2 linked regions of the Lepisosteus oculatus genome follow. The protein of the gene in region 1 purifies or fractionates together with the protein of each later gene. This does not show direct contact. Links are inferred from orthologs where the notes say so. Each region holds a gene or a part of one and is shown on either strand. Other genes may lie near its edges.

What was found.
Region 2: the proteins of cmtr1 (region 1) and dhx15 purify together in Homo sapiens (co-immunoprecipitation; 3 studies listed by BioGRID and IntAct, with this or other methods). This does not show direct contact. The link is inferred for Lepisosteus oculatus from reciprocal best matches to the Homo sapiens genes CMTR1 and DHX15.

The regions. Positions count from the first base shown.
Region 1 is NC_090697.1:30,581,591-30,588,543, reverse strand, and holds the start of cmtr1 (cap-specific mRNA (nucleoside-2'-O-)-methyltransferase 1), read left to right. Parts: upstream 1-3,942; 5' UTR 3,943-3,999; exon of another isoform or gene 4,000-4,127; intron 4,128-4,155; 5' UTR 4,156-4,341; intron 4,342-6,953. Other genes in the region: avidin-like, read left to right, coding at 946-979. UniProt on the Homo sapiens protein: S-adenosyl-L-methionine-dependent methyltransferase that mediates mRNA cap1 2'-O-ribose methylation to the 5'-cap structure of mRNAs.
Region 2 is NC_090696.1:62,447,453-62,454,315, reverse strand, and holds the start of dhx15 (ATP-dependent RNA helicase DHX15), read right to left. Parts: upstream 3,019-6,863; 5' UTR 2,905-3,018; coding exon 2,834-2,904; intron 1-2,833.

The DNA of each region.
Region 1 (6,953 bases):
AAGTTGGACCAACACCCAGCCCCAAGCATTATTTCCCCTGACATCCTGAGGTCTTCAAAGGAACAAGTAATACGTTTATTCCATGCTGAAAAGAGAAGAGAGAAAACACAATGTTTCGGCTGTGAAGCCTTCTTCGGGCGTGAGGTCTTTCAAATACCATCAGTACCATTTTCAGCTCTAAATGCCTTCTGGGAATTGCCTCTCAGGCAGGGATAATGTAGGTGAGCAGTGTCTTTCACCGGTACCTCTGACTGCTGGTAGGGAGAATGATTTTTTCGGGTAAGATAAGACACTCCTTTCCAGTGACGCACTGGCCAACAGGCTCACACCAAGGCCGCAAAGATGACCAAACACTGAATGAAAAGAGCCACTCATACAGAACGATTAACATTAGAGGACAGAAAACGACAAGTGTGAGAGGAAGAGGTGTCAGGCGGGAGAGAATGAATCACACTGCGGAGAACATCCTCACATTCTGCTGGCTGCTGGACTCTGAAGTGACCAGTACTGCTATTGATTCTTAAACTAGGTGTTTTTCCCGTTAAAGATCCGTAAATGAATATGACCTCTTGAACTGTCTCGCCCGTAGTGGTCCTGTCACTACGGCCCCGCACTCGGACACGAGGGTCTCGCCCTGGTCCTGTTAATACTGGTGCCGCGCACTGACTCGGGGGTCTCGCCCTGGTCCTGTCAATAACGGCGCCGGGCTTGGACACCTCAAGAGTCCCCAAAATCCCAAACTCTTTTGTCAGCAGTATCTCAATAGTGAGTTCCTGTAAATACAGTACTTCCTCAGAAACAACAGGTACCTCAGGCTACAGATTGTAGTGCCCAAGATCTAGACCTTTTGCACACATTTCATTGTTAAATTTATCTTTAAAGTGTGCAGTTTTTAAATGTATGCTGGAAAAATGTAACAAGATACTTTTGATTTTTTTACTTCAGGGTTGGCAAAGATGTGTTTACTCGGCTCCCCTGAGATCTCTTACTGGAAAATCAAGCTTAATTTTCGCTACAGACTGCTGCTCCTCTGCCAGTCCTGTGTCTCCTGTCCTCCAGTCCGGCAGCGCCATGGCCATCAAGCCTTCAACGGGACACGTCTGTCAGCTTATAGAGCCGAACCACCTTTGAACCGTTGAATGTCACATGAAAATTACTGATCAACCCAAAAGTCTTTATATTAACCCTTCAGTCCTCTCCTGCCCCAGAGTTCATAGCGACAGGGCCTTAACCTAAAACCTAATCCTAACCCTTCAGACCATATTGTTAGGGCTAACTTAACCTCATTTAACCTTATTTTAATCCTAATTTTAACCCTAACCTTAACCATCAGAACATAAACTGTGAGGGTTTCAGTCGTTGGAAGGACAGTGCAGCCCTCTTTGTCCCAGGTGGTCCCCTTTTGCAGAAAATTTGAAAAAAGAGCTCTATTCCCCTATCCTACCCTTAAACTTAGCCCTACAGTCAACTGCAGAGCCCGTGATCCAGGGTCATCATCAGTCAGCATCGAAGTATCTTTGCAATATCTGCAGTCTAGTTTCCTCCAAAAGAAAAGTTTGAAAAGAGTGAGACGAGAAATCCTTACCTTTCAGAGCTGGTTCATCTCTGTTACACGCAGGGATTAAACCTGGAAAAGCCAGAGAGCAGGGGAAGACAGTCTTCCACTTCAGTCCAACAGCTTCAGCTGACCCTTTAAGTTACAATGAGGCCTTATAACATTCGGAGAAATGTCCATTCAGACATCTTTAGCAAGCCAAGACTTGTCTTTCTGTGCTTTCCTGTTTCCATTGCTATAGCAGCAATAAATATGCAACATGCAAAACCTGCTGTGTCTCTCCGATCTGTCTGGTTCTGTTAGCTCCAGGAGAACAGGGCTGCCTGTGAGCTCGGTGTTTCTGAAAGTCTCTGCTCAGGCCTCCTTTCCCCATCTGACTGACGGGGAAGAAGTAATCTCTTTGCCAAAATCCTGAAATACAGTCTAAACACTTTCTATAAACAGGCATACTGTAATACATATGAATTTTAAACACCTTTGTCCAGTGATTCTGATGCTGTCATATAAATGGAACTACTTGGATGGCTTTTCTTAGATACTGTTTTCAAGTATTTTATTTATATTAGATATTATTTATCACTTACAACTGCCCCACCTTCACAAAGTTATCAGAAACAAGTCGTGTGTTTTTGTAGCAGGTTCACTGACATTCTCCAGCACAGAAACAGTATCCATATATTCATGATGTGTTGATCAACAGTGAGTGTGTGGCCATCGGTGGAGGCTGCACAGATGCTGTGTTGTGGGATTCATTTCCATGACTTTAATGTACATCTCTGCTTTTACAACGAGGCATGACAATCCCATAGTGAGGATTTCATTTTTTTTACACTTCAATCTATAAAATACATCATCACTCTCAAAATATAATTATACAAAACTCTTCCTGTCGTTAACAAAGGCTGTAACATTCTTGTGAAAGTCAGGTTGTTATGTCCAAATGCACTGGCTCCATGCAGAGAAAAGTGGTGTCCAGTGGTTAGTCAATCCACTGGCCAGCAGCGCTGTCCCCATGCTGTCCACTCGGACACACAGTGAGAGAGCCCTCCCTGTACCTGTACCTGAACCTGTTCCTGTACCTGTACCTGTTCCTTTCAAATGAGCCGGATAAGGACAATGACATCCAGCATCTCGCAAGGAAATCAGCAGGAGCAATCTACCACAAAACTGAAACCAATCTGAGCAACGTACAGGTGGCATGTGAAAGGAGTCGGATCCTGGTACAGTACTGTCTTACTTTCGGATCAAGATATCGTTGACAGCTCTGACAGACAGGGAAACAAGTCCTGGAAATGATTATGTGACATGCAAGAGGCATTTACAAGGCCTGCAGTCAGATCCCTGGTGCTGCACTGTACGTGGAACACGTGACGTACTCAGATCATCAGTGCTCTGTCCCAGGAGGTCTTCCTCCATCAGCTCCTCTGGGTGGGTCATGATGTCGGACTTCAGGCCCGCGGAGAGGGGGGCTCTTCCCTAGAGGAGCCAGGGCCGTTCAGAGACATGATTACAACAAACACAACACGACACGAGATTATGACCCTCGACCCAGGCCTCTTCTTTTTGCCTCATGTCCGTCTATCGAATACTGCCGCCCCTCTCTCTGGATCACAGGGCTTCAGCTTCTCCCTGCAGTGGCTAGCACACCCCTCCCTACGTAAGCCTGTGTGCGAGCCTGTCTTTCCACGAAGTAACCCGGGAGTCACCACAATACTGTTGTCTTACCGTACTTGATTTTCGGACAACATGAGTACAACAAATTGTAATGTAGATTGGAAAATTAAAGTTTAAGCAGCAAAATCCTGGGTGGATATCAGTCAAGGCAGCATGGTGGCGCTGTGGCTAGCATTACAGTCCTGTGGCCCTAGGATCAACTCCTGAGGTGCTATCTGACTGAAGTTTGTATGTTCGCCCTGTGTTTGTATGGGTTTCCTCCAAGTGGTCTGGTTTCCTGCTACAGTCCAAAGACATACTGGTATTACTGGTAGGTTAATTGGCTTAAAGGAAAGTTGTCTCTGCTGTGTGTGTACCCTACGGTGGACTGGTGTCCCATCCTGATTATATCCCACCTTTGGCCCATTGCTTACGGGGATAAGCTCCCCTACAACTCTGGATTAGATGGTTAAAGAGTGGACGGGTGAATGGATAAGAAAGCTTAAATTGAATTAAAATTCTGTAAAACCTCTATGAGGAATACTAAAGGACAGTAACTGAAAATAAATAACTCAAATAATCATTTTTTAGTAATATTCCAACATTTTACATTCTACTTTCTATTTCATCAATTGGTTCTACCTTATCTCTATCTTACAACCCTGGTCGTATCGGTTACATTGCAATATTCGGGCACAAGAGTGAACACCATACATACGTCACTAATGCCAGCCGCGGGACTGAAAGGACCCCAGCGACACCAGCGCAGAAAATCGAAACTGGAAACTGAGGTTTTGCTTGTTTGCTTGTGGGATAGCGGGTTTGAATGCGACATAAGTATAGGGTTTCAGAAGTTAACTTCACATTGGGAATCGACTGTTCGAGACTGGGAGCTAAGGCTATGTGAGAGAAGCGGCTGGTAAGTAACGTGTTGATTTTGGAAACAGGACCCAGTGGGCACCCGATCGGAAGGAGAGTGGATCGCCTTACGATCGGTCAGGCCCGCTTAGTACTGAACCGAGCCGAAGAGAAGCAAGAGGACGTGGAAATCAGCACTCGTCTGCTTACGAGCCGGGTCAGCGAGGCGGGAATGAGACAGCTGGTCTAGTGGGACTACAGCTCCGTAACACGAGGTACCGCTTGTCTGGTTCGCACTTTCTCTGAGGTTTGCACTGTCGTCCTTGGTCAGGGTAGGACCAGGGCGGGTTCGCACCCGCGTTTCACCTTTAGATAACTAGTGGCTGCTCGGTTGTAGAGGGTAGTCAGTACCAATAAGAAGGTACGCTTCATGGGGATGAAGGTATGCGCTCGTTATTGCAGAGGAGAAAATGCTAATACAAATAGAAACGAGTTCTCCTCTTTCTAAATTGCTTCATTTAGCGATACTAATTTATTTCATTTATACTCATTGTACCACTGAGTTGCATTATTACTATCTTTCACTGACTAGTAAAATAATTTCCTTGTACCCACTTGTCGGCATGTGGAAACGACGGCATTCTTACTACAAGAAGGACAGAAATTATACGCTATAACGTGGGAGGTCCAATAAGAGTCCAATTATAATATTCAGAATAGTAACGGAGGGTGGATAAATGCTTATGCTTAAATGTAAGGAGAATTGGGAAGGAAAGAAACAGCCTCTACTGCATTAGCAGGTGATTCCACTGTTATGGAAGTGACAGATAAGTAGCTAAGGGAGTGTGGTGCTGGCCAGTAATGCAGTGAGTGGACAGAGAGAGGCAGGAAGGAAGGAAGAGCCAACCTACACTGTAGACGAGTGCCTAGTCCTGACCCTCTGATTCTGACTCTGTCATTCATTCGCCACACTGCTTGATTTCTGGCCATCCTGTGTACTCCCTTGTGTTAATTCCAGGAAGTACAGTGAGCAGGTTCCGTTTCATCTGGGTTTATAACTGGTCCTGTATAGCTTTCCAGACCTCTCTTTTGTTCTGTGTCGATTACAAAAGGATACAAATGTGCGAATAATACCAATAACCCTGGCGTATGAATACGAGTGTGGTACAAATGTTGTTTCACAGATGTGCTGTTTCAACATAAACACCCAAGTCTTTTGTATAAGCAGCTTCTTCAAGCTCAGTTTCTTGTTTTGGATTTAACGTTTACAGTTCTCAGTCCAAATGCGTTTCCATTTTCCTTAAGGGCAACCACCTGTGTTTTCAGAATTAATGCTTTATGAGGAGCTTTTTCAAAAACCTTCCGTAAATCTAGATACACCATATCCTGTATCTGTTGCTGCTGTTGTTTGTTCAAAGAACTCTGACATGTTGGTCAGACAATACCTGCCTTCCATGCTTAATCTATAATCCAAGTTTATTGGTCTATAGTAGCTTGGGTCAGTTTTGTCACTCTTCGTGTGGATGGGCTCTACATCAGCTGCTCTCCAGTCCCTGGTACGAGCCCTGTCTTGAGGGACTGTACTGTAACAGAAGTCAAGAGTTATTGGTCTATAATGACCAGTAGTTCTCCAGTCCCTGGTACGAGCCCTGTCTTGAGGGACTGTACTGTAACAGAAGTCAGAGTTATTGGTCTATAATGACCAGTAGTTCTCCAGTCCCTGGTACGAGCCCTGTCTTGAGGGACTGTACTGTAACAGAAGTCAGAGTTATTGGTCTATAATGACCAGTAGTTCTCCAGTCCCTGGTACGAGCCCTGTCTTGAGGGACTGTACTGTAACAGAAGTCAGAGTTACTGGTCTACAATGACTATATTGTCCAGTAGTTTTCCAGTCCCTGGTACGAGCCCTGTCTTGAGGGACAGCTGGAAGAGCTGTGTAAGTGTCTTCTGAATCACAACTGTCATGTCCTGGAGTACAGTTGCTACTGTAAAATACCATCAGTGCTGGGATTTATTCATCTTGAGGGCTTTTAGTACATGAATCTCTTCTCCCTCTTTCGTATTGGTCCTGTAAAATATAGCACTGTGGTCTGTACCTGAGGCTTTCTTTAGTAAATACCTGGGTGAAATACTCATTTAGTATATCAACCATTTCCCTCTAATTGTCTAGAAGTTTCCCATCTTTATCTCTCAGATACATGTTACTTTATCCTTAATGATTTTCTTGTGCTATTGAAGAGTGTAGCAATTATTTGGTTTAACCATAGCAATATTACTTCACCTCTCTTGGCAATACACACTGGTTGAGTATCTGGGATAAGAAACAACAAGGAAAAACAAACCCTGATGAAGTACAGGCTCAGTGATCACTACCTGGGCATAGAAAGTGGATAGAGGCACACCTGGCTGCCCAGAGAGGACAGGCTGTGTTCCCACTGCGAGCTGAGAGAAACAGAAGCATAATACAGCATATGACCTCCTCTCACAGCCCGAGGAACAGACAGTGAGCCTGACTCTCAATAATGATAATATTGTGTGATCTCCTGTCCCAGCCTGAGGAACAGACAGTGAGCCTGTCTCTCAATAATAAGAATACAGTGTGTGATCTCCTGTCCCAGCCTGAGGAACAGACAGTGAGCCTGTCTCTCAATAGTATTAATACAGTGTGTGATCTCCTGTCCCAGCCTGAGGAACAGACAGTGAGCCTGTCTCTCAATAGTATTAATACAGTGTGTGATCTCCTGTCCCAGCCTGAGGGACAGTGATCCTGTCTCTCAATAATAATACAGTGTGATCTCCTGTCCCAGCCTGAGGAACAGACAGTGAGCCTGTCTCTCAATAATAATAATACAGTGTGTGATCTCCTGTCCCAACCTGAGGGACAGTG
Region 2 (6,863 bases), on another chromosome or scaffold:
CCCAACAGGGTGTTCACACTCTTTACCAGCATTTATATAGAGTTTTTGATCTATCAGACTGGTAGTTACATTTATTAAATTTACCTTTATTTTGGAAACACTACATAAATAGACCCCTGGCATTACTGAGTAAACTAGCATGCAACACGGTCAGATTTACAGAATATTCAAGATTGACAAACAAAATGCTGCTGTCAATCAATGGCCTATTACTTCAATATTCAATAATATCCTCAGTTTGAAACTGTGCATATGATAGGCATAGTCACAGAATTCAAAATCTTAATATTCCTTGCAAACAGGTGGGCATGATGTGAGACCTTCTAAAAGTAGGTGGAAACATTACTAAGTTTTTTTTTTAATCGTTATAATTTGTGGCATCTTCGATTTTTCCAGGGAGTAGTGTTGGGGATACCTTCAAAAATCACAGATTTTATTTATAAAAGATCCTTGTACATGATGGAACCAAAATCTAGCTACGTGCTTTGAGTGAATAAGAGCAGAACATTTTCCCACAGTAGAAAATGACCATGGCTTTCTGATACAGCCATAAAGGTGGCCATTGCCTTTCAGGCTTTAACAGCTGGACGCGTGTAATTCTTTAAGATCGGCTACTTCATTTCAAATACAATAAGCATTAAAAGAAACCTTTAGTAACAACATATTTGCAAAGGTACCAAAAATATTTGTAGTGCAACTACACTGACATATTATTGGACACACAGGTAAATTCATTATGCCGATACATCATCATCATCACCAGAGTCGATCAACACAGGGTCTACAGTAAAAGTCACAAGCGAGTAGGTTGTGGGGGCACCACTGGAAGTAGCACAAGCTGTACACCTGCAACACATTCTGTGGGATTCTGTCCTATTCCTCTCTCAGGGTTTGAACAAGCATGTGCCTCTTCCCTGCCATGTTGTCTTAACTCATCCCACATATGTTCATCCATCCCTTTTCTAACCGCTTAATCCAGCCTAGGGTTGCGGGAGAGCCAGTGCCTATGGCAGGATCTACCCCAGCTGGGGTGACAGTCCATTGCAGGGCACACACAGAGACACTCATACGCTCATAAACCACAGTGCAGCTTCCCAGGAACCAATTAACCTATCAGTACGCTTTTGGATTGTGAGAGGAAGCCCACACAAAGCCAGGGAGAACATACAAACTCCACACAGAAAGCACCCCAAGTCTGAAATTGAAGCCAGGGCCCCAGGACTGTGAGTGAAAGCAATGCTAACCACCGGGCCATTATGCCACCCCATATACGTTCAATGGGCATCAAATCTGTAGAAAAGGCAACTATGTCATATCTCCCATGTTCCCACTTCACAAAAAAGCTGTTATATGATTTAGTCCAGGTTTAATTAATGATTTAGTTCAGGCCGGCTATTATATGATTTAGTTCAGGCTCTCACACCTGAAGAAGGCTCCACGGCCGAAAAGTTGTGTTTTCTTTTATTCTCTTTTCAGCATGGAATAAACCTTCACTTGTTATATGATTTATGTGTGAGCTGTCCTTCTGGAATTTTGTCATATCAGGATGTGAATGCAGGAAGGACAGCAAGTGAGGTCGCAGGTCTTACAATGCCATGTGGCAAATTAGTGATAAAATTGCTTGAGGCACTCCATAGCAACACCCCTGCCCAGACCACAAAACTTGGACTTTGCTCTAGATCTGCACATCTGTGCCACTTGCAAACATTCATTACTTTAGTCTAATCTGGACTGAATATGAAATATTCAAAATGACTGGCAAATTCCTAGCTTTTTAACAATTCACAAAGGATTCCATAGGCTGAATCACCCCCTATCATTAATAAAGAAATGTAGCTCTTGTACAACGAAATCATCAAGATCGGTTCATTTAATGCCCCCAAAACAATCAATATCCAAAATTCATGTGCTTTGCAAAAACAGAATGATCCATTTTGTTTTCACGCTCAGTACATATTCAAGTGAATCAGCCTGTTGTTTGGGACGTTCAGCAGACCAGTGCCCCCAGCCCACTACAACAATCCACACTTTTGGCGGTCCATTTCTAATATATTCATAAGCGTCAACGTAATCAGTGACAAAACAAAAAGAAAATATAAAATAAGCTACACCACGCCAACGTCGCCCGTTTAAGCTGCCACTAGTTTATAGCAAGGCTGTTGCATTAACACTACCGAGATGTACCGAGGATAAGGCCATAAAGGCATAAACCATCATCATCAGATGTCACAAGAAAACCATGTTCACCGCATGCCGGCCCACCGCAAACTAAACATTGTTGTTGGAAGTTTTAAAAACATGCCTCAGACTTACTTATCATAGACTAATCGCCAAAACGTATATTTGCACGGAAACCTACACAGGCTGGAGGCTCTCAATCACATACCGTCTGCAACAACAACTGCAGCTACCAACACGTGTTGAGAGAGCATTTGAGCAAAGGACAAACACGACTGAGGCGGCGCATATCGTAACCCCTCAGTGTTACAATGGACACGATTGACTTAAAAAGCTTTCTGCAAGTTTAAAAACTCGATGCAAGACGAGCATTTTGTTTGCAAACCGCATACAGGCCGCAAGAGAATCCCACGTGTAACAAAATACATGTCTAACAAAATAAGACGTGTTGTAATCCCGTCTTGGTAAATTAAAGCCACTTTAACTTTTAAATAATACGTTCCAAGCGTATTATTCCAAGAGTATTAAACTCGGATTTTAGGAAAACAGCGGTGAGCGAGACTGCTATTGCACAGTACTCGCTGACCCGAGGAAGGCGCCGAGATGCATAACCCATCTTCCCGGACCCAAACAATAAAAAACACCATTAACTTACAAGTCAGAGGACGATCTTTTTTTGTTAGAAGAATAGTCGTCGCCTAAATCCAACCGATGCCTTTTGGACATACTGTTTGACCGGGAAAAGGTTTATTTAAAAAAAATAATACACCTGAAATGCACACTTATTCCCAAACAAACCCTCCTCTTCAGTCACAGCACCAGGCGACAAGATGGCGACCGGAACCACTCATCTCGTCTTTATTATTTCACATAAAATAATGAAAATAACCCCTTCATTAAAATATATAGATGTGTTTGATTTTCTTTTATTTTCCACAAATATGTAATTATGAAATGTATTAAATAAAAATATTTGAGTCCAGGATGGTACAGCTCATCAGGTGCGGAGTGTTGAAAGCCGGCCGGCACCGCCGGAAGAAGGAAGACAGTACAGTAACCTTCCCGCCCCTCTGTTCCCTCCGTGACGTGTGGATGTGTTCTTGACTAGGGAAAATCTGGTGTCAATTCTGGGCTTCGTTGCACTCAAAATTGTATTAATTAAAAACGATACCAGTTTCGACAACTTAGTTCTATCGCGTAGATAGGCCTAGCGCGTATAGTGTTGCAAACTGTTATAGTTTACAACGCCGGCGTAACTGTTTTCATCATGCTAAGTGTCTTCACCAGTACTCAAAATTAAACTATTATTATGTTGCTGATGTTAGATTTCATAATTATGTTTAGACTGTTGAGATCATATCTGTGTTACCAAAAAGTAATGCATTTCATGATGACATCCAGGACAGCCTAACTTTATACAATGTACCTTTTTACACACATATATACGATATTATATATATATATGGCAATATACTGTAAGTAAAATACTAATTTCCTGTATAACTTTATATAAGAATATAATCCAAAGTGGTCACGCATTTTTTCAGACATTATTAACTAGGCAAAACATGAATTCTCAACTATTCAATATGCAATTTTCAGGCTAGCTGGATAAGTAATGACTGTGGAAATGAATGAGTGCTGGTTTCATATTTTTTACTTACACTATGTGAACATCCATGGATACACTGTAATGGAGGGGTCCATGGGGGTAGGAGATGGGATTATAGCCTCGGCTCCAGTGGACATAAGATTAGTTATAAACAAATGGTAGCCGTATTAGCAGTTAATTGATCTATCAGGCCTTTATTAAAAGGGGCCTAGGTATTAGCTTCAATGTCTGGTAGCTTGTTCCTCAACTCCCACAACCCTTTGTGTAAAGACGTGTCTTCTATTTTTGATTTAAAATGTACTTCCATATAGTTCTGGCTTTTCAGCAGTATTATTAGAGAAAGTATTATTAGAGTATTGTACCACTTAAAAATAAAATTATTTGCTTTAAATTTGGTCTATTCCCTGTTCTTCATTTAAATTAGGAAGCATTTTTACTGTACATCCATTTGGTTTTACATTAGAGAATGAAATGGAATAAGATTGAATTCAAACATGTTGGTGCCCACAACAGGTAACAAAATGATCCTTCTCTAGCTAATGACCACATTGGTAGGAATTGCAAAATATCTAGCATATATTTTCCTGGTTACTCTGTGGATTGATTGGCTATCTCTCACAAAAAACAAAATGTGAGAGGAGGGCAGATGCAGTTTTCATTGAAAACAATGTATCATGGTCATGGTCTCCTGCAAAACTGAAGAAATTACATGCATTTGCAAATGTTTTGCAATTCGCGAAGTGCATTTCCAACCAACAGAAGTTCATTCAAGGCTGGAGCAAACTTGAGAAATCCTGAGTTTTGAAACAATATAGCTATGGACCCTATTAACTCTGTTTAAGATGTGATGAGCTTGAGCACTACAAAATCTACCATAACACTGCACATGCTCCACAGTAGAGTGTGATAAACCTAGTGTACACCAGTGAAGCATAAACCTACTGGTTTTCCTTGGCTGTCAACATGTAATTTGATAGTTATTTATTTAATTATTTAATTTAGTCTATTATTTTTCTTCTATAGAAACTTTAGAAACTGATGCCCCAGGCTGTTGATCTTTCCAGGAAAAAGATGGTGGTGTATAAATCTTAAAAAACTCCCAGAAATGATTTCTGAGAACAGCTCCTATGCTTTTGTAGACGATTCTCAATAATAACAAGATTAAACTTATTAATATTTTTGAGTCATTAATTTTGCAAATGAGTTTAATCTACTTGCATTAAATTACAGTAATGAATAACTGCAACTTAACTACAATAAAATATGTGTTGGGGTATTTAGAAGAGAGAGTCATATAGACTACCGTATGTACTGTACTACCATAAAAAAGAAACTGCAGAAAATAGCAATTGTATTGTGAGATATACGATATACAAGAGAATAAGTTAATGTAAGAAGCTTTCCCCCAAAAAATGCATACGTCCTAATCTAAGTCCAATATCTTGGTCCCTATAACACATGACATGGATGGTGCTAATGCAGATCACAAAGTCAGTAAGTATGTTGTTGGGCCACCATTAGCATTGGTGACTGCAAGTACCTTATAGCAGTGATTTGTAATGTTATTGATGCTGACTGCTTCTGGAGTGTTCCAAATGTTGATCAGCTCCTCAGCAAATCCATAAATATCTGTTTAGAGTTCACTAGGCAGTAAGACACTGAATCACTTTGTTCGACAAATGTTCAATCTGAGACAAATGTGGTAGATTTTCTGGCCATGGAAGGAGCAGAATCTGTTACTCTGCCAAAAACAGTCATGCAACGTCTGCAATGTGGGAGCGAGCTTTACTTTTTTGCAGATCATGACCTGGGCCACATGCATGATGGGAAAAATGATTGGGGTGAGGAGAGTGTCATAGCCCTGCCTCTCTGAAAAATCTTCAACACAACTGGAGGTAATGTATTGTTTATTAAATGTGTACTTCCTTACCATTGCGGTAAAATCTGTGTATTGTTTTTCACCAACAGTATAAGATAAGATAAGATAAGATCACTTTATTGGCCAAATACAATTTCTTGTATAAGGAATTTGTCTTTTCACATACCCCAACTTGCTCTCCATGGACATACAGACAGACAGAGAGAGAACCTTGGGGTCAGAGCACAGGAACAGCCATTTATACAGCACCCCTGGAGCAGTTGGGGTTAAGGGCCTTGCTCAGGGGCCCAACAGAATAGGATTCCTCTGCTGGCCATGGGATACAAACCGACAACCTTCCAGCCACAGGCACAGATCCTTAGCCAAAAGTAATTGCAATTTTATCATTATTAAAAGTTATTAAATAGCATCTAAAATTATTTCTGCTCATACTTGTGAGGTGCAAACAAAAAATAAATTATTTTCAACAGGAAACTTTGGTTGCAACATTGGATAACCATGTAAACAATCAGTCTGTTAATGGGACATTTATATTCCATAACAAAGACCGTTAAAAACACTGCCCCCATAGACATAGCCACTTTAATAAGATCCCATGCAGCTTAAAAGCTATTGGATTATGTAGTGATGAATCGGTAGACACCTAAGACAATCATTGCAATTGACACAGGTAATTACACAACCTGGGCATTGCTAACAATCTTTGTAATGGCAAATGGCTCATTGCTTGTAACTAGGGATTGATGGTGATGGGAAAGAAGAAGTTAACATTACAAGTAAGCCTTACTAATGTTCCAAATTCAAAACTAATTTAAAATACCAGCCATTTTTTTCCACTTCTTTCACAGGCAATTAAATAACAGTCCAATTGTGTGTGAAATAGGACTGCCTGGCAGCCTCGCTGTCAAACAGAGGAAAAGGAACCTTTTGCAGGAGGAAGGGAAAGAGCAGGGGGTTGTTTTATAGCTAAAATGACTGGCACTTGAATTGAAAATACCTAGATGAACATCAACATAAAATGACTTCTGACAAAGAAAAGAAGAGTGAAATGATATTTTTCCCTGTTAGAAATAAGGAATTAGGCTGCATTCAAACTTATAAAGGCTCTAACTTTAAAATAGCTTTTAGCACAAAAAGTGAAAAGAACAGTATATTATATTACACGGGATAGCTGATATGTTAGTCATACTTTAT